Linked DNA regions of Xenopus tropicalis. The protein of the gene in region 1 interacts with the protein of each later gene in a pairwise test. Links are inferred from orthologs where the notes say so. Each region holds a gene or a part of one and is shown in the gene's direction. Other genes may lie near its edges.

The links. The genes of interacting proteins can lie anywhere in the genome.
Region 2: the proteins of sf1 (region 1) and kpna1 interact in binary tests that used the Homo sapiens proteins (3 or more experiments, as listed by UniProt). The link is inferred for Xenopus tropicalis from reciprocal best matches to the Homo sapiens genes SF1 and KPNA1.
Region 3: the proteins of sf1 (region 1) and sf3a1 interact in binary tests that used the Homo sapiens proteins (3 or more experiments, as listed by UniProt). The link is inferred for Xenopus tropicalis from reciprocal best matches to the Homo sapiens genes SF1 and SF3A1.
Region 4: the proteins of sf1 (region 1) and ddx17 interact in binary tests that used the Homo sapiens proteins (3 or more experiments, as listed by UniProt). The link is inferred for Xenopus tropicalis from reciprocal best matches to the Homo sapiens genes SF1 and DDX17.

The regions. Positions count from the first base shown.
Region 1 is NC_030680.2:40,392,819-40,398,793, forward strand, and holds the start of sf1 (splicing factor 1), read left to right. Parts: upstream 1-2,406; 5' UTR 2,407-2,453; coding exon 2,454-2,457; intron 2,458-5,975. UniProt on the Homo sapiens protein: Necessary for the ATP-dependent first step of spliceosome assembly. Binds to the intron branch point sequence (BPS) 5'-UACUAAC-3' of the pre-mRNA. May act as transcription repressor.
Region 2 is NC_030678.2:3,394,191-3,399,640, forward strand, and holds part of kpna1 (importin subunit alpha-5), read left to right. Parts: intron 1-449; coding exon 450-549; intron 550-792; coding exon 793-887; intron 888-2,528; coding exon 2,529-2,660; intron 2,661-4,008; coding exon 4,009-4,097; intron 4,098-4,351; coding exon 4,352-4,451; intron 4,452-5,168; coding exon 5,169-5,332; intron 5,333-5,450. UniProt on the Homo sapiens protein: Functions in nuclear protein import as an adapter protein for nuclear receptor KPNB1. Binds specifically and directly to substrates containing either a simple or bipartite NLS motif.
Region 3 is NC_030677.2:144,341,669-144,347,118, forward strand, and holds part of sf3a1 (splicing factor 3A subunit 1), read left to right. Parts: coding exon 1-145; intron 146-1,103; coding exon 1,104-1,178; intron 1,179-3,641; coding exon 3,642-3,792; intron 3,793-4,295; coding exon 4,296-4,492; intron 4,493-4,995; coding exon 4,996-5,113; intron 5,114-5,188; coding exon 5,189-5,374; intron 5,375-5,450. UniProt on the Homo sapiens protein: Component of the 17S U2 SnRNP complex of the spliceosome, a large ribonucleoprotein complex that removes introns from transcribed pre-mRNAs.
Region 4 is NC_030680.2:120,521,357-120,527,025, forward strand, and holds the end of ddx17 (probable ATP-dependent RNA helicase DDX17), read left to right. Parts: intron 1-1,858; coding exon 1,859-2,092; intron 2,093-2,995; coding exon 2,996-3,411; 3' UTR 3,412-3,819; downstream 3,820-5,669. UniProt on the Homo sapiens protein: As an RNA helicase, unwinds RNA and alters RNA structures through ATP binding and hydrolysis.

The DNA.
Region 1 (5,975 bases):
TCTTGGGCCAGGTTGGAGCTGCAGGGTGCCATTGAGTCCTATGGGAGGCTTCCAAAATCATGCTAAAATCATACTAAGTTTCGCTGCCGCTTACGAGCGCTCAATACAAAAAAGTCCCGACAAGATACGAGCGCATCGTAATGGCTACAGAAAACTCGCGTTTTTTCGCGCAAATCGTATTGGTAACGAAAAAGTCGCGTCAATTTCCGAAAAGTCGTAAAGGCGCCGAAAAAATCGCAAAAAATACAAAAAAGTCGCAAAATGTTCGTTTTCCAATCTGAATTTTTCCAATTCAGATTCGGATTCGTGGGTTAGTAAATGTGCCCCTAAATGTTTAAATCTGCTATCGCAGATATGGGAAGAGAATCTGAGCACTTGGCAATGATTTTTTTCAAAAATGCAGCATGAAATAGAAACAGTTGTTAAAAATGAATTTTAAAAATAAATGTTTTGCATTAACCTGGTAGAACTGAAACAGAAATTGTTAACTCAGTTATAATACAGTGTATTGTTTAAAGCATACCTAAGTTTGTCATGATTTAGAATAGACTGTCCTACATTGCAAGTGCCAAAGGGTGGATCTTACTAGGCAGTGGGTGAGGTTTGGGGAGGATTTAGGTTTGATCTAAAATGTTCACAAAATTGTTGTAGCACTGCAGGATCCTGATAACTGCTAAAATCTCCCTTAGGGGCTGATTTACTTACCCACGAACGGGTCGAAATGAGTCCGATTGCGTTTTTTTCGTAATGATCGGTATTTTGCGATTTTTTCGTATTTTGTGCGATTTTTTCGGCTTCTTTCCGAATTTTTCGTTACCAATACGATTTTTGCGTAAAAACGCGAGTTTTTCGTAGCCATTACGAAAGTTGCGTAAAATCTGGCGATTTTTCGTAGCGTTAAAACTTGCGCAAAAAGTTGCGCTTTTTTCGTAGCGTTAAAACTTACGCGAAACTTTGCACCTTTTAAGTTTTAACGCTACGAAAAAGGCGCAACTTTTCGCGTAAGTTTTAACGCTACGAAAAAAGCGCAACTTTTTACGCAACTTTCGTAATGGCTACGAAAAACTCGCGTTTTTAACGCAAAAATCGTATTGGTAACGAAAAATTCGTAAAGAAGCCGAAAAAATCGCAACAAATACGAAAAAATCGCAAAATGTTCGTTTTCAAGTCGGAACTTTTCCAATTCGGGTCGGATTCGTGGGTTAGTAAATCAGCCCCTTAGTGTCTTAAGCCTCACACATTTTTGCAGGACGATCGGTCGCACGAAACATCGTCAGATCCGCCACACACCATTCAGGGCTGAATCGGCAGGTAAGGAGGTAGAAACAATAGGATTTCTACCTCCTTCTGCCGATTCAGCGCTGAAGGGAGATTTTGGTCAGGCGCCTTCTATGGCGCCCGATCAAAATTTTCAGACTGGTCCGATCGGCGAGTCGGCCAATATCAGCAGCTTCCTGCGATATCGGTCTACTCGCCAACATACCATACACGCACCGAATATCGTACGAAACGAGGTTTCGTACGATATTATCGGTGCGTGTATGGCCACCTTTAGAACAAAGGATGCAATGCATAACAGGGGCAGCCATATACTGCATGCTTCTAATTTATGTACAAATATCTAAATGTGAGTTTTTTTAATTGGGGTATAGGAAAGGTATTTTATTTTCTTCATGCAAAATAAAATAGTAATGTACTTTTTTTTTTTTTAAGAATGATTTTAAAAACTTTCTATACAACTATTTATTATTAGGAACTACTACAGAAAAAAACAGGATTTTTCCTTTATTAACAAATTAGAACAGCCCTGTTCAGAGTCGGTTGTTTGTCCGGGCATTGGCGACTACAACTCTACACCACGTTTGTCTGCCATAACATAGTGGAAGAGTGTGACAAGTCACAGCTTTTTAATGTTAAAATGTCCACTTGTTCAGTCACAATGACTATCCTCCATTTTGTTGCTTGTTCTTCAGCGACAAGCAAGATGGCGGGACAAACGTGCTAACAACGTCAGACACTACTACATCCTATAAATCCGGAAGAAAGAGTTGAGCAAATCACTAACAAATTTTCGCGCGTTTATGCTTATTAGAGTACAGTCTTTAGGCAAAAGAAAACGAGGGAGGGGATGGTTTTATGCATTTTACGTAACCAATCATCTTAACGTTCTCTAGTTCTGCCTACAATACGTACGTGCGACGTAGCGCTTTATCCTATAGCAACTACCAATTCCAGCCAATCATCGCTTACGTTTTTTCCTCCTTCGACACCAACCTGGTTTCGGACCAATCGGTAGCGTCTATTTATTCATCTACCAATTATCTTCGTTTTCTATTCCTAGAGGGTGGACTCCGAAGGTGATAAAAGGTAAAGGCTGCACAGTTCCGTTCAGTCATCTTGGAGCAAGGAAAGAGGAGGAGTTTGGAAGTATTGTGACAAAGATAGACCGCGTGATGGGTAAGTAGTGTACCAGGCGTTTACTAGGCCTCTCATGTAGTTATTGCTGTTTAGAGAGCTTTTCTTCTTTTAGTCGCTGGTATTGGTGTCAGTCGCTGCTTCCAGCCTTATTTAGTTCTATATTTTGAATGTATAAACGCATATTGTATCTCAAGTCCCGTGGCTAGTTATATCTCAGCGCCGATGTATAAACGCACGTGGTTAGAGTTAAGCAAAACACTTTCCAGATTATGTATTAAGGAATATTTGGCTATTAAATCCGTTGAGTTTGTGCGTAATATCCAGTTTTACTCTACATACCAGCGAATTGTAGGCCTTTCTGCGGTGTCTCTGCTGAGTTACAATACTTGCTTGACTTGTGCGTTTTTATGCCAGTACTGCTGCAAAATCGCATGATATAATGAGGGTGAATTCGTGTTGGTGTTGCAAGTGTATTCCTTTTATTTGCGTCGCTAGCGATAAAGTTTGTGTTTTTATACGTATATACCGCACTGGTGCGAACCTATACAGGTGGGGCGCTGCAAGGTTTCGAGTGTATTAAAAAAGTGGTTAACTCCACAATACAATTTCCTACATACATTCATTAACTCTAGTTAAAGTCGCTTCCTTCCTATCGCTGCCGTCTCTGCTTTTATGAAACAATGTTGCAGCAGCAGCAGCTAACTGATCTGGGAGAAGCATGAAAGGCTGACTTTTGCTACATGGGTTCAAAAGACTGAACCAGCATTTTCGTCTACTGGTTGCTTGCAACCTGGGCGTTTCCGGATAGGGGATCTTTCAGTAACTTGGACCACCTTTCCAAAAATCATCAAATAAACTCTGTAGGATTTGCTTGTCACCAATATAGATTTATGCATCTTGGTTATTAAAGGAGACTGAAAGCTGTGCCAAATGTTAGGCTCCCCTTAATGATTGTAATCGCTTACCTTTTACCCCGGGCTGGTACTACTGTTAGGCGAAATCCACACCTGCCCAAGGTAGGTGCAAGAGAGCAATCTTCTTTTGTCTTTGCACCGCTTGTGCAGTAGAGTGTAAAGACGAACTTTAACAAAAAAGTTGGCATCTTCACCCTACTGTGCATGCGTCGGCCCCGGGATTCAAAAGCATGAAGAGACGGAAGGCTGGTGTGGTTTTCTCCTAATAGGAACAAAAGCCTGGGGTAAAGGTAAGCAATTACTGGGTGGAGCCTAACATTTGGCACCCCCAGTGATTTTTGCCTTTCCTTCTTTTTTAAATACATGGTACTGTTCTGTTACCACAGAAAAGGAATGACAACCTTCCCGTGATTTGGAGCTTTTCTGGTTAAGGATCAGATCAAATATATATATTTTTTTTTAATATATACACCCCCACCCCCTCTTTTCAGTATGAGTTTAGTAGATAGTGCTTGTGCATAAGATACCATTGTTTTAATTAAGATTAATTTGTGGTTATTCCTTGACTCTAAAGCTGGCCATACACGCACCGATACTATATCGCAGGAAGCTGCTGATATCGGTCGACTCGCCGATCGGCCAGGTTAGAAAATTTTGAATGGGCGCCATAGAAGGCGCCTGACCAAAATCTGCCGTCAGGGCTGAATCGGTAGAAGGAGGTAGAAACAATAGGATTTCTACCTCCTTCTGCCGATTCAGCCCTGACGGCAGATTTTGGTCAGGCGCCTTTTATCAGCCCTGACTGTGTGTGGCGGATCTGACGATGTTTCGTGCGACTGATGGTCGTACGAAACATCGTCAGATTGCCACATGTGTGGCCACCTTAAGGGTAATGGCACAGGGGATGTTTTGTTGCCTGCAGTAAATCTTCCCTACCACATGCAGCAAAACATCATTGTTTCCTTCCCACTGGCTAATATGCAAATCGCTGGTGGTGAAACATATGTGGTGTGAAGCACACTGGCGATGTGCATTATAGCCAGTTGGAAGGAAGCAAAGATGTTTTGTTGCCCTTAGTAGTGAAGATTTATTGCAGGCAGCAATGTCCTGTGAGCCATCACCTCAATGGTGTGAACAGACATGAAAACTTGTTTCAAGTTTTAGTGGCAATTGATCTGTTGGGTGAGTGAAAATCGCCCAAACCAAACTTACTATGGAGACCAGGCAACTGCCATCAAAATGAATGTTGTGCAATTCAGAATGGGTTAACTGAAGGGTAAAAACCCACGGGTGCTGTTCAGTTGCCCATGATAGATCTGTTATAGTGGGCGACTACCGCTCTGAAATGACTTTCCACGGCAACTTCTCGTCAATTTGTTTTTCGCAGTCGCACAAAGTTGTCTGCAGGAGGGGAAACTTTGCGCGACTTCAGACCAAAGTCACCCGCAATATCAGAGGTCTATCATGGCCGACTGAACCACTAGATGGGTTCTTATCCTTTACTGGTAGATTTTTGTGATAAATACTGTCCAACATATTCCACCTTTTTTGTAAATTGACATCTATACAGAAAAGTCAAACGGATCAGAAATAATTTTATTGAAAGAAGAAAAACAAAACTCGTACAAAAACCGTTGCATTGCTGTGCACACCCTTTAATAATCAAGAATGTGGCTGCATTCAGAATCAACCAATCTCAAATAGTCTCATCTCAAATAGTAGTTAGTATACACCTGACCTCTGATTGAGCTCAGATAAAGTTTGACTGTTCCTGTAAGATTATTCCTCTTGAGGTGGCCATACAGGTAACCATTACTATCTTTCCTGTGACCATTTGTCCTCAAATATGGAGGTAGAAACAATAGGAATTCTACCCCTATCTGATGATTCAGCCCATAACACAGCTTTTGCTCTGGCACCTTCAGTGTTGCCCAATCAAAATCTTTTGTCCGGCCCAGTCAACAGCTTTTGAGATATTGGTTGTCTCGTCTATCCACTATACATCGAATATTGTACAAAGTTAGGGTTCATATGATATCAGTACAAAATTAGGGTTCATATGATATCAGTGCACGTATGGCCAGCTTTGTTCTCACACTCCAAAAAGTATTCAAATCATTTAACATTCTATGGAACACGGTGAAGACAGTCATTAACTAGTGGAGACAGTATGGCTCTAGAGTGTCTAACAACATCAGGATGGAAAGCCATTTCAGAGTGGTTAGTCACCCACAATATCAGAGGTCTATCATGGCCGACTGAACCACTCCATGGGTTCTTACCCTTTACTACCCCTATCTGATGATTCAGCCCTTAACACAGCTTTTGCTCTGGCGCCTTCAATATCGCCCGATCAAAATCTTTTGTCCGGCTCAATCAACAGGACAACAGATATCCAAGGCTTTTGTGATATTGGTAGTCTCGTCTATCCAACATACATCAAATATTTTACAAAATTAGGGTTTGTATGATATCAGTACAAAATTAGGGTTCATATGATATCAGTGCACGTATGGCCAGCTTTGTTCTCACACTCCAAAAAGTATTCAAATCATTTAACATTCTATGGAACACGGTGAAGACAGTCATTAATAGGTGGAGACGTTATGGCTCAAGAGTGTCTACCAACATCAGGATGTCCCG
Region 2 (5,450 bases), on another chromosome or scaffold:
TAAGCACAATTCAGCAGGAACAGCCCCCTAAGTTTGCTCATAGCCTGTACAGAGAGATACCATAAAACTATGGCACATAGGGATTCCCCTGTACTAAGCACAATTCAGCAGGAACAGCCCCCTAAGTTTGCCCATAGCCTGTACAGAGAGATACCATAAAACTATGGCACATAGGGATTCCCCTGTACTAAGCACAATTCAGCAGGAACAGCCCCCTAAGTTTGCTCATAGCCTGTACAGAGAGATACCATAAAACGATGGCACATAGGGATTCCCCTGTACTAAGCACAATTCAGCAGGAACAGCCCCCTAAGTTTGCCCATAGCCTGTACAGAGAGATACCATAAAACTATGGCACATAGGGATTCCCCTGTACTAAGCACAATTCAGCAGGAACAGTTTAGTGTATAACCAAGCTGCTAAACTCTTCTAAATATTCTTTCTGACAGAGTGGGGTTATTACGGGAGACATGATAGAGATGATTTTCTCCAACAACCCAGAGCAGCAGCTTGCAGCGACGCAGAAGTTCAGAAAACTGCTATCAAAAGGTATGTTCTGTGCATTTGCCCACCTGCCCTGTTCAGTATCTTCTTGACATATTATTGCCCTTTGAGGTACCACTGATTCGCATTTATTTTCATGTTAGCTGAATTTGCTGGTTCATAAATACCTGTAAATACATCTGTATTAACCTTGGGGTTGAGCATGGGCAGTGCGAGTCTGTAGCAGCTGTAATGTGCTCAATAAACATGTGATTGGTGTAATAACAGTGTGAGTCTGTCTCTTAACAGAGCCCAACCCTCCCATTGATGAGGTTATAGGGACTCCGGGGGTGGTCGCTAGATTCGTGGAATTCCTGAAGCGGAAAGAGAACTGTACATTACAGGTAATGTGCCTGAATGAGAGATGAGGAGCACACACGTAGCCGTCAGTGGGAAACACAATCACTCCTAGCTGCATTTACCCTTTTATCCTGGGCAGCCTCTTGTGCGCCATCCGTGTCCCTTGGAGTGTGCTATAATGGGCCACATTTAACACCACAGCTTTGACTCTGTATGAGCTCAGGGGCACCGTGACGCACAGAAGGTTATTCAGTTAATCAGACGGCTTGCTTAAGGAACCATAGCGGCCAAAAAAGATAAGACATCCGGCCAAGGTGAATTCATGTGGCACAGGCAAGCATTGCAGAAATAACATCCCTGCTGAAATCCCTGTGACTTGTCACAGTTGTCAAGCTCAAGATTTAGCGGCAAAAGGGGAACAGTAACTATTTTTCCCTCCACACTTTAAAGGAGAAGGAAAGGCATTTTGGCATATTTTGCCAATAGATTAGTCACAATAGTACAAGCTAGAATGCTATATTTATTCTGCAGAAAGCTTTACCTGCCTGAGTAAATGGCCCTAGAAGCTCTGTCTGTTTGTTTAAGATAGCAGCTGCCATTTTAGCTTGGTCTCAGTAGCTTCTGTGCTGCAGCTCTGGCTGCTGGTAGCTCAGATTACACAGAGTTGGGAGGAGGAGAAGGGAAGGGGAGAGAGGAGAGATGGGAGGGGGAGCAGGGAAGGGGAGAGATGGGAGGGGGAGCAGGGAAGTGGGAGAGAGGAGAGATGGGATGGGGAGCAGGGAAGAGGGATAGGGGATAGAGGAGAGATGGGAGGGGGAGCAGGGAAGGGGGAGAGAGGATAGAAGGGAAGGGGAGAAAGGATAGATGGGAGGGGGAGAGAGAAGAGATGGGAGGGGGAAAAGGGAAGGGGGAGAGAGGAGAGATGGGAGGGGGAGAAGGGAAGGGGAGAGAGGATAGATGGGAGAAGGGAAGGGGAAAAAGGGTAGATGGGAGGGGGAGAAGGGAAGGGGAGAGAGGATAGATGGGAGAAGGGAAGGGGAAAAAGGGTAGATGGGAGGGGGAGAAGGGAAAGGGAAAAAGGGTAGATGGGAGGGGGAGAAGGGAAAGGGGAGAGATGGCAGGAGGAGCACAGCAAACTGAGCAGACTCGTGCCCCTGACCTGAAGTCTGACACAGAAGAACATGTATACACGAAAGAAGAAAATAAATACTGCGTTTCTTTTGATAGAGGCCACATAGGAGGATTCTGTGAGTGCTTATTTACTGTTAAAGCTTACTGAGTTCTTACCATTCCTTCTCCTTTAAGGCTGAAGACAAATGGGTGTGCGTCTAACACTGCCAGGCTTTTCTAATTAAAGTTAATGGGAGGCAGCAGGGTGTTATATGTTTACAAAGCAACTCCTCATCAGCCTCAGATTAAAAATATGGCATCACCCAAACAGATATAATTAAAAGCAAAATGCAGGTAAGGAATGCACTCATACTGTACTGCCTACGGAGCCAATATTGCAGCTCCCGTCCATAGGTGGTTCACAGTAATTCAAACATCCAGCAGATAAGGCATGATTGTGTTCCTTTGACTTCCCATGCATCCTGATGTGGCTGCTAATGGGTTAATATGCTAGCAGTACTGTATCATAATGTCTGCAGGTGGTCTTTGGAAGTAACTCTTGTCTTTCCGTTCAGTTTGAAGCAGCGTGGGTGCTCACTAACATTGCCTCCGGGAACTCCGTACAGACCCGCATTGTCATCCAGGCAGGAGCGGTGCCCATCTTTATAGAGCTGCTCAGCTCAGAGTTCGAAGACGTTCAGGAGCAGGTAATAGGGAGATTATATTCACCCCAGACAACCAGTTTGAACCTTACATCTGCTTGCCCCCCACCCTATATGATTAAATACACAGCTACATACAGACTTCCCATACAGACACCTGCGTGACGGCCTCTCTGCCCCCCACGCTTACTACCCCCCGTAAAGCCTGGTCAGTCGCCTTAAAATTGCTAGGTCACCCCCTCCACTACTATCCCCACCTATGGGGAACTCCTACCGTCACCATTCCAGACTTTATATTCTGGCCTTGCCACTTGATTACTTGTAAGACTTGATGTAACCTTCCAGAGTTACCCATAACTGCAACAAATATGTCAGCCTCCAATGCTTCCCTCTTACAGATTCCTCCGAGGCATTCCACTCACAATTTTCCACACACTCGCCCCAACTAGTTTCACTCAGAGGAAGCCCCGTGTACCCCCTCCCCTGACAAAATGATATCTAGAATATACCAGAACTTGCAACTAGGGATAAACCGAACCCTCGAATCCATCCGAAGGGATTCGGCCGAATACCGAACCAAATCGGAATTCTAATTAGCATATGTTAGTTAGGATCCGGAAGGGGTAAAAAAAAAATTTCCCTAACATTTAACCCTTCCAAATCCTAATTAGCATATGCTCATTCATGCTAATTCAGATTCAGTTTGGCCAGGACCGTGGATTTAGCTGAACCCTAATCCTGGCCAAATACCGAACCGAATCCTGGATTCAGTGTATCCCTACTTGCAACTACCCGGACCCAAAGACTAAGCAAAGACTGGCAAGACCCTGCTAGAGACAAATTAGTGCAATACAAACCTATAGATAACCCCTGCCAGATTTATATAAATGGGGCGCTCTTCTGACGACAGTTGCTCTAGATGCGGGGGCTTAATTTTTCCACATGATTTCGAAATGTCCCCACATTCACTCTTTTTGGACCCAAATATTCGACTTCCTGGCCTAAAACCTAGAATTACCTAGAATATTGGCACCCATATTTGTCTCCTTGGGATACCGCGAGCCCACGTGTGTTTGCGCAACTGTGTACTCCCCCTTCATGCAAAAAAAAAACAAAAAACAATTGCCGTGCATTGGATGGGTACATCCCTCCCCTCCATTAGAACTTACAGATAGGATATCAGAGGGCAACTAACAAATCTGACAAAGTCTGGGGACCTTGGTGCAATGTACTTCAAACACATTCCAACCACTGGGTGCCTGAAACCAACCTTTTTACATTACTGACTAACCCCCACAAAAAAGAAACAAACAATGCTACAAATTGCTAATCACATACTGACTTGATTCCTTGGTTTAAACCACGAATGTCATTTTCTTCTCTTCCCTAACAGGCAGTCTGGGCTCTAGGGAACATTGCCGGAGACAGCACCGTGTGTCGGGATTATGTGTTGGACTGCAATATTCTGCCTCCGCTTTTACAGTTAGTACCTAGAACTTTGGGGTGTTTTATGATTTTTTCCCTGTGTTTTTAAGTAGCTGTACTTGTTATGTATGAAGATATAGTAGAAAAGATGTTTAGAATTGACTATAGGGGCAGGGTGCTGAGCAGAGGTTAGGGTTACATTGGGTGGGAAATACATATTGAATGTTTAGAGCTCATGGACTTGGGATGTGGTTATTACTGTCAACATGGAGTCCATATTTACTCCGTTATATTCTTGTATTATTTTTCAGATTACTGTCCAAGCAGAACCGTCTTACAATGACTCGAAATGCAGTGTGGGCACTGTCTAACCTTTGTAGAGGGAAGAATCCACCCCCTGAATTCGCCAAGGTAACAGTGAGGCAGTTGGATTTCAGTGTTATTGCTAAATGGGCTTTAGCGTGCTGGCACTGGGCAGATAAACACATGGTTATTGTACCCACAGCATCAGTTCATGCTTTTTGTAACCAGCCTTCTCTTTAGTAACCTTGTTATATCCAGTCTATTTTTTGACCAGCAGTTTCAATGTATGCAGTTATTTCATTGGCCAGAAGCCCTGGAGAGCGAAAGAGCTCAATCCGAATACACCCACAGTTGATGTGCCAAGGTCTGCTTGAACCCACCCAACCCGTGGGTATCGGGCCGGCCTGCACATAACTAATATATAGGCCTTTCATTTGCTTGGCAGCATCAGCAACTTTCTTTTCCCATCTTTTAACTGGTCAGTAATCTTCCCTTGCATATCATATGCCTATTCCCAGGGGCCCCATTAGCACTGGCATCTTGTGTTTATTGACACTGGAAGCAGAACCAAAATACGTAGAGCTCCTCTCCTTCCACTTACCCATAGGTGGCCCTCCTGCACTTCCACCTTAGGGGCTGATGGAAGTCAGGGGGCCAGCATATGTCTATCAAATGGACAAAATACCATCACTTGCTTTTTATCTCTTGTCCTTTATTGGCCAGTGGTATTACTGGCGGCTGCTGCTTCTGCATCATTATCACACTGGTATCATAACACTTTAGGTGAGTTATTTGCTGAAGATGCCATATTGTCTTCCTCCCCAGGTTTCCCCATGCCTCACTGTCCTGTCCTGGCTTCTCTTTGTCAACGACACTGATGTACTTGCCGATGCCTGCTGGGCGCTGTCCTATCTGTCAGATGGGCCGAACGATAAGATCCAGGCCGTGATCGATGCAGGCGTGTGTAGAAGATTAGTGGAACTACTAATGTGAGCCACTGTTTGTACTTGACTTCATGAAATGCAGAACTTTAGTATCTTCCTTTATTTTGTTTTTGGGACATGGCTGGATAAACTGCTTTGGATACATATAAACAGTCAAATAATA
Region 3 (5,450 bases), on another chromosome or scaffold:
TACAGCACAATTTGTTGCTCGAAATGGTCGCCAGTTTCTCACACAGTTGATGCAAAAAGAGCAGAGAAATTACCAGTTTGATTTCCTGCGTCCCCAGCACAGTCTTTTTAACTACTTTACCAAGCTTGTGGAGCAGTATACCAAGGTAATAATCTTCATAATCCTAAAAACTGTTAGTGGCTAAAAATCCTTTTCTTAAAGGGCACCTATTAGGGCAAAATTGTTTCCCCCAACCAGAGGTGAAAGCCAATAGAGCCAACATTCTGGTTGGAGGAAGCAGTACCATTTTTTTTGAAACCCTTCTGTTGGGTAAACAATTTGGCCCCATAGGTGTCCTTTAAGTAAAAGCTACATCGGCTAGAATGTGTTATATATCTTGAGAAATGATTAAAATATCAAAGTAGTTTACTTCCAGCCTGGCCATTGTTATTTAAATATGCTGCTTATGCAATGCTTTGTCATAATCACTTTTCATATTGTATAAAATGAGTGGCTGAATATTTTTATGAGCAACTAAAATGCAGCTGTTAACAAGTATTAACTATCTTTTAAAGGGGTTGTAAACCCAATAATAATACTGTCCCCCTGCTCCCCCTAGTTTTGCTAAATTGTCAAAAAACGTAATTTTGGATGCAAGAAAATCCACCAATGAGCATTTTACTGACTAAAAAAACCTCATAAGTGCAAGAAAAGAGACCGAGAACACTGGTTCCCAGCACTATGCCAGGCATCTTGAAAAGAACAGGGAGCCAGATTTACAAAGATTAGCTGGGATTCTAATTGGTAGATTTTTTGCATGTTAATGCAGCTGCTGGCACTGGAGATATGGAGAAAGGATTAGAAAAAGTTCTATTGCTTTAAAAATGCAACCCTGATTGTGCTGGACTACAACTCCTAGCATGCCACAAACTTCATTATATGTTATTGTTCTGGGATTTGTAGTCCAAAAACAGCTAAGTAAACTTTGGTTTAGCAGTGCAGTGCAGCAGGTTTTAGTACCCCCTTTAAGCTGCACTGTCAATATTGTCATTTATAGGCTCTAAGTAGAGATGGCTCTCGTGCACTGTGCCCCTGATATCCCTCTGGTAATCTCTTTCTTTCAGATCCTGATACCACCAAAAGGATTACTTGTAAAGCTAAAGAAAGAAGCTGAAAACCCAACAGAAGTATTGGATCAGGTAATGCAACCCTCTGCCTTCTAATATATTCTACCTGCATTTCTGTAAATTAGAACTTTTGTTGATTACTCTACAGTCTTTATGTTGGCTCCAAGTATACTTTCTGTTTTAAAGGACACATAAAGCCTAAGTTGGGCACGTCTCTTTCACCCAAATGGCATTATTTGTACTGCATATATCCCATCCGTTTGCCAGCACCATCACATTTTCGTAAAGCAAATAGCAGCTTTCACCCTGGGACCCTTATTCAGCTTACATTTCATCAAGAATGCAGCCTCACATAGGCAGAACTGTCTGATAAAAGTTCTACTTTGTTTGGACTGAGTTCAGGAGAGAAAGTTAGGAGAAAAAAATTGAAGCAGAAAGCTAGAGCTGAGTTTCTATGGAAACCAGCAGTGCCATCTCTTCACTGGCTGCTAGACTGGAGGGCGTGTTTAGTAATCTGAGTTTAGAACAACTAAACATGCCCACAAGCCAGAAGTCAATGAAAAGTCAAAGCAAATTCCTGAGGGAGGGGACCGAGTGGCTTACAGGAGGAGAAGGAAATCTTAGTTATTTAGGGGATGTTGCAGCCTTACTAACCTTATTAACCTCTGGACAACCAGAGTAGCAGGTATTGAAAGATTTCCAAGAGGATGTTCACTGATTAAATTTGTGTGTGTGAGGTTTACATGTCCTTTAAGGCTGCTTATTCAGTAAGTAGCAAGTTATTTTTTTATTTATAGCAATGTAGTTGCTCCTTAAGTCTTAAATGCAATTTAGAGTATGTAAAAGCTAACCTTGCAAAGCTATCACTTTGCCAATTATGTTATTAACCTAACTGTCCAGTGTTCTCTAAAAGCAGCATTGGTTCAAGGATTATTTTTTTTTTGTAAGTAAATGCAGATTAACCTAACACCTTCCACAATGCCAGACATTGGCTAGAGTGATGTTAAAGGAACAGTAACACCAAAAAATAAGTGTATAAAAGTAATTACAATATAATGTACTGTTGCCCTGCATTGCTACAACTGGTGTGTTTGCCTCAGAAAGACTACTATAGTTTATATAAGTTAGCTGCTGTGTAGCCACAGGGGCAGCCATTCAAAGGAGCAAAGGCACAGGTTTTTTAGCAGATAACAGATAAACCCCCATTATATGGGGCTTATCTACTAGTTATCTGCTATGTAACCTGTGCCTTTTCTCCTTTTTTCCAGCTTGAATGGCTGCCCCCATGGCTACACAGCAGCTTATTTATATAGTAGCTTTTCTGTAGCAAAAACACCAGTTTTTTGCAGAACAGCAGCACATTATATTTGAATTACTTTAAAACACTTTAATTTTTTGATGTTACTGTTCCTTTAAGGTTGCTGCCATTGGGCTCTGGAGCAGTGTAAATGTGTTAAATGTGTAATGAACCTTAGTTCACAGTCTGGCAGCCAGGAAAATGCTACCTGCCTAAATGTTTAATGCTTTTGTTTAGTTTGGTGGAGTAAAATAACAACAAAAAAAAGTAGTTTGGAGTAGGAACCCAGATTCTAGTAAAAACAAACTAGAATTCTTCTACATACAGTGCAATTTTTGACGCTATGCTTCCTACCTTTTGGCAACACTTTGGGGAGGGCCCTTTCCTGTTTCTGCATGCTCAAAGCAAAGTCTGTGCAGAATCAGTTGATTAAAGGAGAAGGAAAGGCTACACAAGAGTTAATCTCAGGCTGGAGGCTTACCATCCGTAGTCTGAAAGGTGCCCTTAAGTCTCCCCATATCTCCATGGATTACAAGAAGATAAGCCAAAACGGATATAAAAGCTAGGAGCTGTGTGCAGAAAGTTCCCATAATCCCTCGCTGATTGCCAGACTTCAGGACTTGCAACCGAAACGGCACATGCGCAGTTGTCTCTTCTCTGGGGGCGCACAAGCAGGCGCACTCCCTGCAATCAGATCTCTTGAGCCGGCCCCTAGAAGCGTGCACTAGCAAGCGTCTCGTTGCTATGGCGACGCGCCGTAAGCAGAAGCCTCCGGCGGCGTTCATTCATTCAAGGAGCACCTAGGCTGGGGGGAGGGAGGAAGCTCGCGCATGCGCAGTAAATACGCCAAAGGAGAGGAAGTGGGCATACAAATTCAAAGATGGCCGCGCCAAACCTTAGATAACACTGAAACTTTCGGGTAAGATTTTATAAGTTTCTCTTACTATAATTGAGCCCAAAGTGTAGTGTTTTTCTTTATCTATACTGGGACTATGCATTGGTACCATTTATAAAATTTTCCTTGCCATCTCCTTTAAATGGATGTGGAAGAAGTTGACTGCAGAGCCCTAACTACAAATGCCTATGTGATGTATTAGTAAATAATTCGAATAAGTTTACCTAGTTTAGCCTTTTGTTAGTATAAAACAATGCAGCTATCAACATTTTGCAATAATTGTCTATGTGCCTCTACCTTCTGCCTTTTCTTCTCACAAATGTTTTGTGTACTCTATAAGTAGGTGCGTTATCGTGTGGAGTGGGCAAAGTTTCAGGAAAGAGAGAAGAAAAAAGAGGAAGAAGAGAAAGAGAGAGAACGTGTTGCCTATGCACAAATAGACTGGCATGATTTTGTGGTAGTGGAAACTGTGGACTTCCAACCAAATGAGCAAGGTAATGCAACAAGTGCATTTGAATAGAGATATATTTTCCCTTTCCTAATTAGCTGTAGAAAGTACAACTACAGCATTCATCCCTAGGAAAAAATGGGTGGGTGGGGAAAAAACTTGTTCTTTTCCCCCACCCTGTTGCTGTAATAGAACAGGTTTTATAGAAGCTAATTGGACTGTGTGCTGCTGTAAATACACTGCCTCTGCCGACTTTTGCAAACCGTTTTGTATCACAGCAAGAGAATTGCATGCAGGAGAGGGGAGTTTGGTGGTTCCCAAAAAGTGCTGGGAGATGTGCCCTGCAAAAACACCTTGGGTAAATTACTGTGCTAGTTACTTTGTGTCTGGGTTTTTAAAATTGGATAATACCACAGATAAGTAGATATAGTTGAATACAGTATGAATCAGTAGGACAAGGAGTCTTACCATATTTTATAGTCTTTGTGCAAGTGAGTCTGAACCCTTCTACCGTATAATAAGTTTTATGAAAATATTTGCCTTTTACAGGTAACTTCCCACCTCCAACCACTCCAGAAGAGCTAGGGGCTCGAATACTTATCCAGGAGCGCTATGAGAAGTTTGGTGAGAGTGAGGAGGTAGAGATGGAAGTGGAATCTGATGATGAGGATGAAGTGAAGAACAACAAAGCAGAGGATTCCTCCTCTCAGATGGACCAAGATACTCAAGTTCAAGATATGGATGAGGTGAGACATTTTATGGTTAATTCTTGCATGCAATGTACTTTGCATTTCTGCTGTCATCATTTACAGGATAGATTAATCCTATGCTTTGATACTCGTGGATTAATTGGGCAACTTATTCTAATGAAACATTATAGCTTAATGACCTAATAAATTATCCTTAAGTAATCGTAAGCAAATACAAACCAGTCAATAAATTGTAGGAATGCACCGAATCCACTATTTGAGTTCGGCCGAATACCAAACCAAATCCTAATCCCTTGAATATGCAAATTAGGCAGTGGAATGGCTAAATAAAAGTGTGCATTTCACGTGTTGACGTGACCAAAAGTCATGTGATTTTAAGGATTCAGACTTGGTTTTGCCAGACACTTGGATTCAGCCGCATCATTCAGCCTGACATAATCTTGGCCGAATCCTGGATTCGGCACATCCTAATAAATTGTCTGTAACTTTTATTCTTCGATATTCAAAACCATTATCCATGACTGTTTATCTCTTCACAGGGTTCTGATGATGAAGAATATACATCAAAGGCTCCTCTTCCTCCAGAGTCTCCTATGCCTCCACCACTGCCTCCTACACCAGACCAGGTTATTGTCAGGAAGGATTATGACCCCAAGGGTGAGTTTGCTGATGTCTGCTTTTTAAATTAATTGAGCTCAGTAATTTTACACTACTAATTGTTTATCCCCACAGCTTCAAAGCCTTTGCCCCCTGCTCCTGCTCCTGATGAGTATTTGGTGTCCCCTATTACTGGAGAGAAAATACCTGCTAGTAAGATGCAGGAACACATGCGCATTGGACTACTGGATCCACGCTGGCTGGAGCAAAGAGACCGTGCTATTCGTGAAAAGCAAGGAGATGATGAAGTATATGCTCCAGGTATGTCAAATCTATGGCAGTATTAAGTGATATCTCAGCAAACTGTTTGGATTTCAACTTTTTATGGATAGCAAGA
Region 4 (5,669 bases), about 80 Mb from region 1:
CTAGGCACAGTATCTTCTGGATGTAGTTACTATTTTTAGTGCTCTGAAAATGTCTTTTGGCTATTTGTTGCTCTTAAGAAATTGCATGGCTACCTGTTCTATAGCTGTTAGGTAGCAGCCAGGTAAGTTCCAGTTGAGCATGAGTCTTCTACACTGTAGGCAATTTAATTTCATATTTTTAATTTAAAATTTGATATTAAAACTTATTTTTTTTGTTTTGTTTTTGACAGAAGCTGCAGATCTCTCTCAGTACAGGGCCAGGGGCCCGTCGAAAATACAGGGGGATGAACGCTGGAAGCTGCCCCCCTAAAGGGCACTGGCTTCTTACACTCCTCCCTCGCAAAGGTCTTGTACTGAAGAGGCAATTTTTGGGTCTGCAACTCCGAGCCCCCTAAGTTACTCACTCAACATGGTGGTGCACAATGCAGGCATTCCACCCTGAGTACTGATATTGGGCTACTTCTACGTCCCATTTGCCTGCTGATTCAGTGTCATGTTCTTGCCCAGCCTTATTGAATAGAAGGACCACCTTTCTAGAAGGGAGATCACACAGATGCTTCCCACTATGCCATCTGCTGGGCAACTGTTGGGAAGTCTTTTGGCTGTCAAAGCAGAAGAATAGCCCTTCTGCCCTTCTTCAGACCTTTTGTGGCTACTTCCTAAACTGTTTAGTTCCTCCTTTCTCCCTGCCTGCACATGCAGGATGTGGCAGTGTGCGTGACTTCCCATTCTGTCATGGAGAACATAAGAAAGTGAGCGCCCTAGAAACCTGTCATTTCCTTTTAACACACTAAACTAATGGACAGAGCAAAAATTTAATTTGTTCATCCTATTGGTTTCAAAGTTATTCTTCCCTCCTAAATAGTGGAACTTTGTTCTCCCATTTTTTCCTTTTTTTAAATTAATATTATGCTGTAAATTAGCCAAACCTGCAGTTCTTGTGAGTGACCTTTCTGTAATAAGAAACAGACATTTATCCAAACTTCCCTTTTGGTAAAATCTGATAATTAGCAGCTTTGTCCACATCCACCTTTCAAAGATTTTAATAACTTTATTGATGGCAGATGGTGAGTGTTGGAGGATGGGGTCTCTCTTCGCCCATTGACAGGTTCACAAACTTGGACTTGGGAGAAGGGCTCCCCCACAGAAGTATCTCGCTCAACCAGTGCACCTGTTGGGACCTCTTGCTGCGCCTGGACCGTTGATGCATGCTCCCTGCTCCAGTGGCCCCTTATCCAAGGATGAAGGGCGGCGACACCGCCATGAGCCAAAAAGACGGGATTGGCGACTGCTGTTTCCCTACCTCACTGAGGGAGTGTGCATCGGTCCGGACACCAGCTCTTCTGAGGAAGAATCCCACTAAGTTTAATTTAAATTATTTATGGTTTTTAGTGCTTTAATGGTTTTCTCTTTTAGCTTTAGGATTTTAACTGGTTCAGTGTCAGTCATCTCATATCTGATGTGTTCAGTTTGGGCATTATATTAGTTACAGTTTATGGAATAGCTCTCTGAACTATATTGTCAGTGAATTTATCTTCAATGTTTTCTAACATAATTGTGACTGGTAAATAGTATTATGCATCTTTGCATATGAAGCCCTAATCCATCTGAAATGGTCAATATTCTGATTTCTAATTTAAGACTTCAGATAAGAACCAAGATAAAGGCAGCTTTAGCTTTTGGAACAGAAATTACAGGGAATCACAGTTTGCCTAGACACTCTAAGCTTTAGTCACTGAAGTGTAGTAGAAATCAGAAATAGTTTGAGGCAAGATTTTTCTACATTTACTAACTTTAATCTTTGTCACTCTTCTGGCGTGTGTATTTCCTACACGTCAATTTCCCACTCAATTTTTAGATGTGGAGGATATCAAGTTCGTCATTAATTATGACTACCCAAACAGCTCTGAAGACTACGTACATCGCATTGGCCGTACTGCCCGTAGTACTAACAAAGGCACAGCTTACACCTTCTTCACACCTGGTAACCTCAAACAAGCCAGAGAACTGGTAAAAGTTCTAGAAGAAGCAAATCAAACAATCAACCCTAAACTAATGCAGCTGGTGGACCATGGCCGTGGCGGTGGTGGAGGTAGGTCATTGCCCTGAGGTTTGTGTACAGTATATAACTAAATGTGATGGTTGGATTTGAAGTTGTCTTTAAGTAACAAGTGTTAAAAATCTTAACTACTTATTAATTTAAATGTACTCTTCCACCCTGAGTAGCAGAGTGTAAGGGAGGGGTGGCTGGTATAAAGAGCAGTATACAGCTTTCACCTCTGCCTTAGGACAAACGCAGCTCACAATTAAAATCTTAAATTATATTTAGATAACAAGTGTGTGCTGGGACATGCATAAAGCAATATATCAATACAAAGGAGACTACCCAACAATTCTGGGCATGTGTGGCCTGCTTAAAGCAGTTTGGCCTATTTCAACTTTACTGACTGACCATCTAGATGTGTATGTCAGTTGAGGGATGAGCTTTTGACAATCCTGTGATCCTGATGGATGGCAGATGAAATCTGTCCTGAAGATTTAGAGCTAAGCTACACAGGAGATGTAGAATGGTGGCAGGTTGGCTGATTACATCCTTGCATAGGTCAAAATATAATGGGACTGATAACAAAATCTGATGTGTAATGTATATGGCAGATTTGTCATCCGGCAGGGCACTCCACTGCAAGTTGTGTCCGACAAGGTAAAATCTGATAGTGTCTAAAAGACTTTGTTGGTTTTCTTCGTCAATGTAGATGCGTTAACAAAACGCACCATCTTACTTCTGATTTGACTTACATTACAGCAGGAGGGATCAGATTGTGTAGCATCCCACTTTTGCTGATAAACAATGTTGGCAGGTGCATTGGAAGCTGAAGAAAGTTCTTAAACTATTCCTCTTTAGGTCTCTTCTTTCTGTAATGTGTAAACAAATGTATTTCTTTACTGTTTTCCTGTGTTTAAACCATATGTTAAAAACTGCTCTAAATCTCTCTAGGTGGCCGATCCAGATATCGCAGCATTCCCACAAATAACAATCCAAATATGATGTACCAGGAAGAGTGTAACAGAAGAATGCATGGTAAAGATGGAGGAAGACGTGATGGGAGGAACAATAACCGCGATGGTGCTATTTCTAACAATCCAACCGGGCGAGATCAGAACCGGCCAAATTACAGCTACGGTGGCCAGGTTTCCAATTTCCAACCCAACCAATACAGCTACGGACAGGGTGGCTTCACAGGAGTAGCTAACAATTATGGCACAGCAGCATATGCCCAGGCACCGCAGCCACTGATGTCACAGCAGTTTGCCCCACCTAGCTCCTCTGGCCTATTGAACTATATGAACCAGGCAGCCAGTTATCAGTATCCCCCTCCTCCTCCACCACCACCTCCACCTACACGTAAATGAGTTCTTCAGCCTTTTTATCTTTTAGCCTGTGTTACCAGTTGATGTAATACACAATTTCCCTCAGTAAGCTTTATGTTTTGTTGCATTTTGTTTTTCCTTTATCTTGATCACAGCAATGTTTGGGAATTAGACTTTTCCAATCTTTGAAGCTGTTCTTTAAAGTTAGTGTTCAGGATTCTATGTGCTTTGTTCTGGCAGTAGCCTTAAGATGACTTGATGTATTTGCAGGGCTTTTCGGTTTTTTTTTTTTGTTTTTTTTTACCTGTTTTGTTTTTTTTTTTTTTTTTTGCCAGAAAGTTTTGAAAGCTACTGTGGCTGCTTTTTTCCTTTTTTTTATTACTCCTGAGTTATTCCAGGTAGGTAAAATTCCAGACTGTCAAGCATCATTCCTCCCTTATTTCCCTGTCACCAAGACTTTTTTCTCTGTATTTATAATTCCCTTGATTGGTGTATAATCCTCCTTTCTTCTGGGGGTGGGGGACATCTACAGTGTTATGCCTCTCCTAAATACATTGACCCTCCCACTATATAGACACTATTTTGGCATTTTTGTTGCCATGTGTGACAAAGACAAAGGTAGGTTCTTTTAACAAGCATTAATAAGTTCACATTAGTTAGATTTATTTTTCATGGCAGGTTGTCTGTACCTCTCATCTCACTGTTATTTCAGCTTCTGTGTTTTGTGTTATAGTTGCATTTCTCTCAGGTGTAATTTTGTTTTTCAGTTACAGATAATGCCCCATACCTTTAAATAATGTTACCATTCTAGTTTGCTGGAGTGGTTATTACATTTTTAAAATTCATTTCTCTAAATTGTCATGAGAACCATCTGACACCATTTTGTAGATAATAAATTTTTTTTTAAAAAAAAAGTCACCATGTGTACCATTGTTTTATTAGAGTGGTGCTTTTATTGATCTCGCTGTAATATTTAAAGCATAACATTCAAATGTTCTGGCTATCTGTCAACTCTATTCTCACCAGTGTCCATTTCTGAAAGTGTCACGGATGGAAAGACTGAAGCAGCCAAACTGTCTTGGTTAAAAACATGACATTACCACCATGGTCTGGCTTGTCTTCATGCAGGAGTCAGATTTTGATTGACAGGTCAAATACACCATAGCTTTAATAGACTGACTAGGACAGTGCTGTCCAAATTCTGTAGTACCAAGGGCTGGAATTTATCTGGCCTTCATGGCGGAGGGCTGATATTGGAAGCCACTGTTGATCACTTCTAGTCTTTAAACCACGCCAATGTTATTACAAGAATGTTTAAGACCATGTCCACACTAATGTTGGTAGCACACCAAAAAACCTTAGCGACCCCCTGACAACTATTTCCATATGTTAATAACCCCCCACCAGGCTGCTCCAACATCTCCAACAAGACTGTATAGCAGAGTATTGCTGGGGCTTACAGACTGAATCTAAGATGTGAACAATGCAGGGACTAGTTAATCTAATACTGATACCTTTTAATGCTTGCACAAGACAAGCAGTCACAGGGGCCAGACTTTAATGCAGAGGCCGCATAGGGTAGACCCTTGGGCTGCTAGTTCAACAGCACTGGTCTAAGCAAAGGAAGCACAGAGCACGCTGTTTCAAAGTAATAGGCTCTGACACAGCTGAATTTAGAGAGAGAGGCTTCAAAGAGGGTCATATTTAGAAAGTTATCCTCCCATGAGATGAAACTTATATTAATTGTAAATTAATAGGCAATGAAAAAAATTAGTTGAAAGTCTAACAAAAAAATAGAAGGAGCAAAGTTAACTATGGCATATAAGGCATCCAAAGATGTAAAGGTGTATGTTTCTATTGCAAGAAGAGTAGTGAAGGGAAAGTTCAGGGACTGGAAAAGGTAACGAGCTTGGCTTGCAGGTGGTAGAAGATTGGTTCAGCTATGACACCACAGCCTCTGACACCGGAATATATGCCTGTGGGTGTTAATGTGGATAAGAGAAAAATAACATGTTGAATTTTATTTTGCTAATGCTTGATGAAAGTATTGTGGTTCATCCAAGTTGCTGCCTTGCAAATCACCACAGAAGACACTCCTATCTCTGCTGCCCAAAAGGCTGCCATACCTTGTGTAAAGTGAGCTCTCTCTTCTGAGGGGTACTGCCTTGTTTTACAAAAGCTTTAGAAATAGCTTTGACCATCCAAAAGCTTTAAGTACTTCTGGAAGCAGCCTCTCCTTTTCTCTTCCATGCAGGGATAACAAAGAACATTCTGGACTTGCTAATCTCCTTTGTCATCAT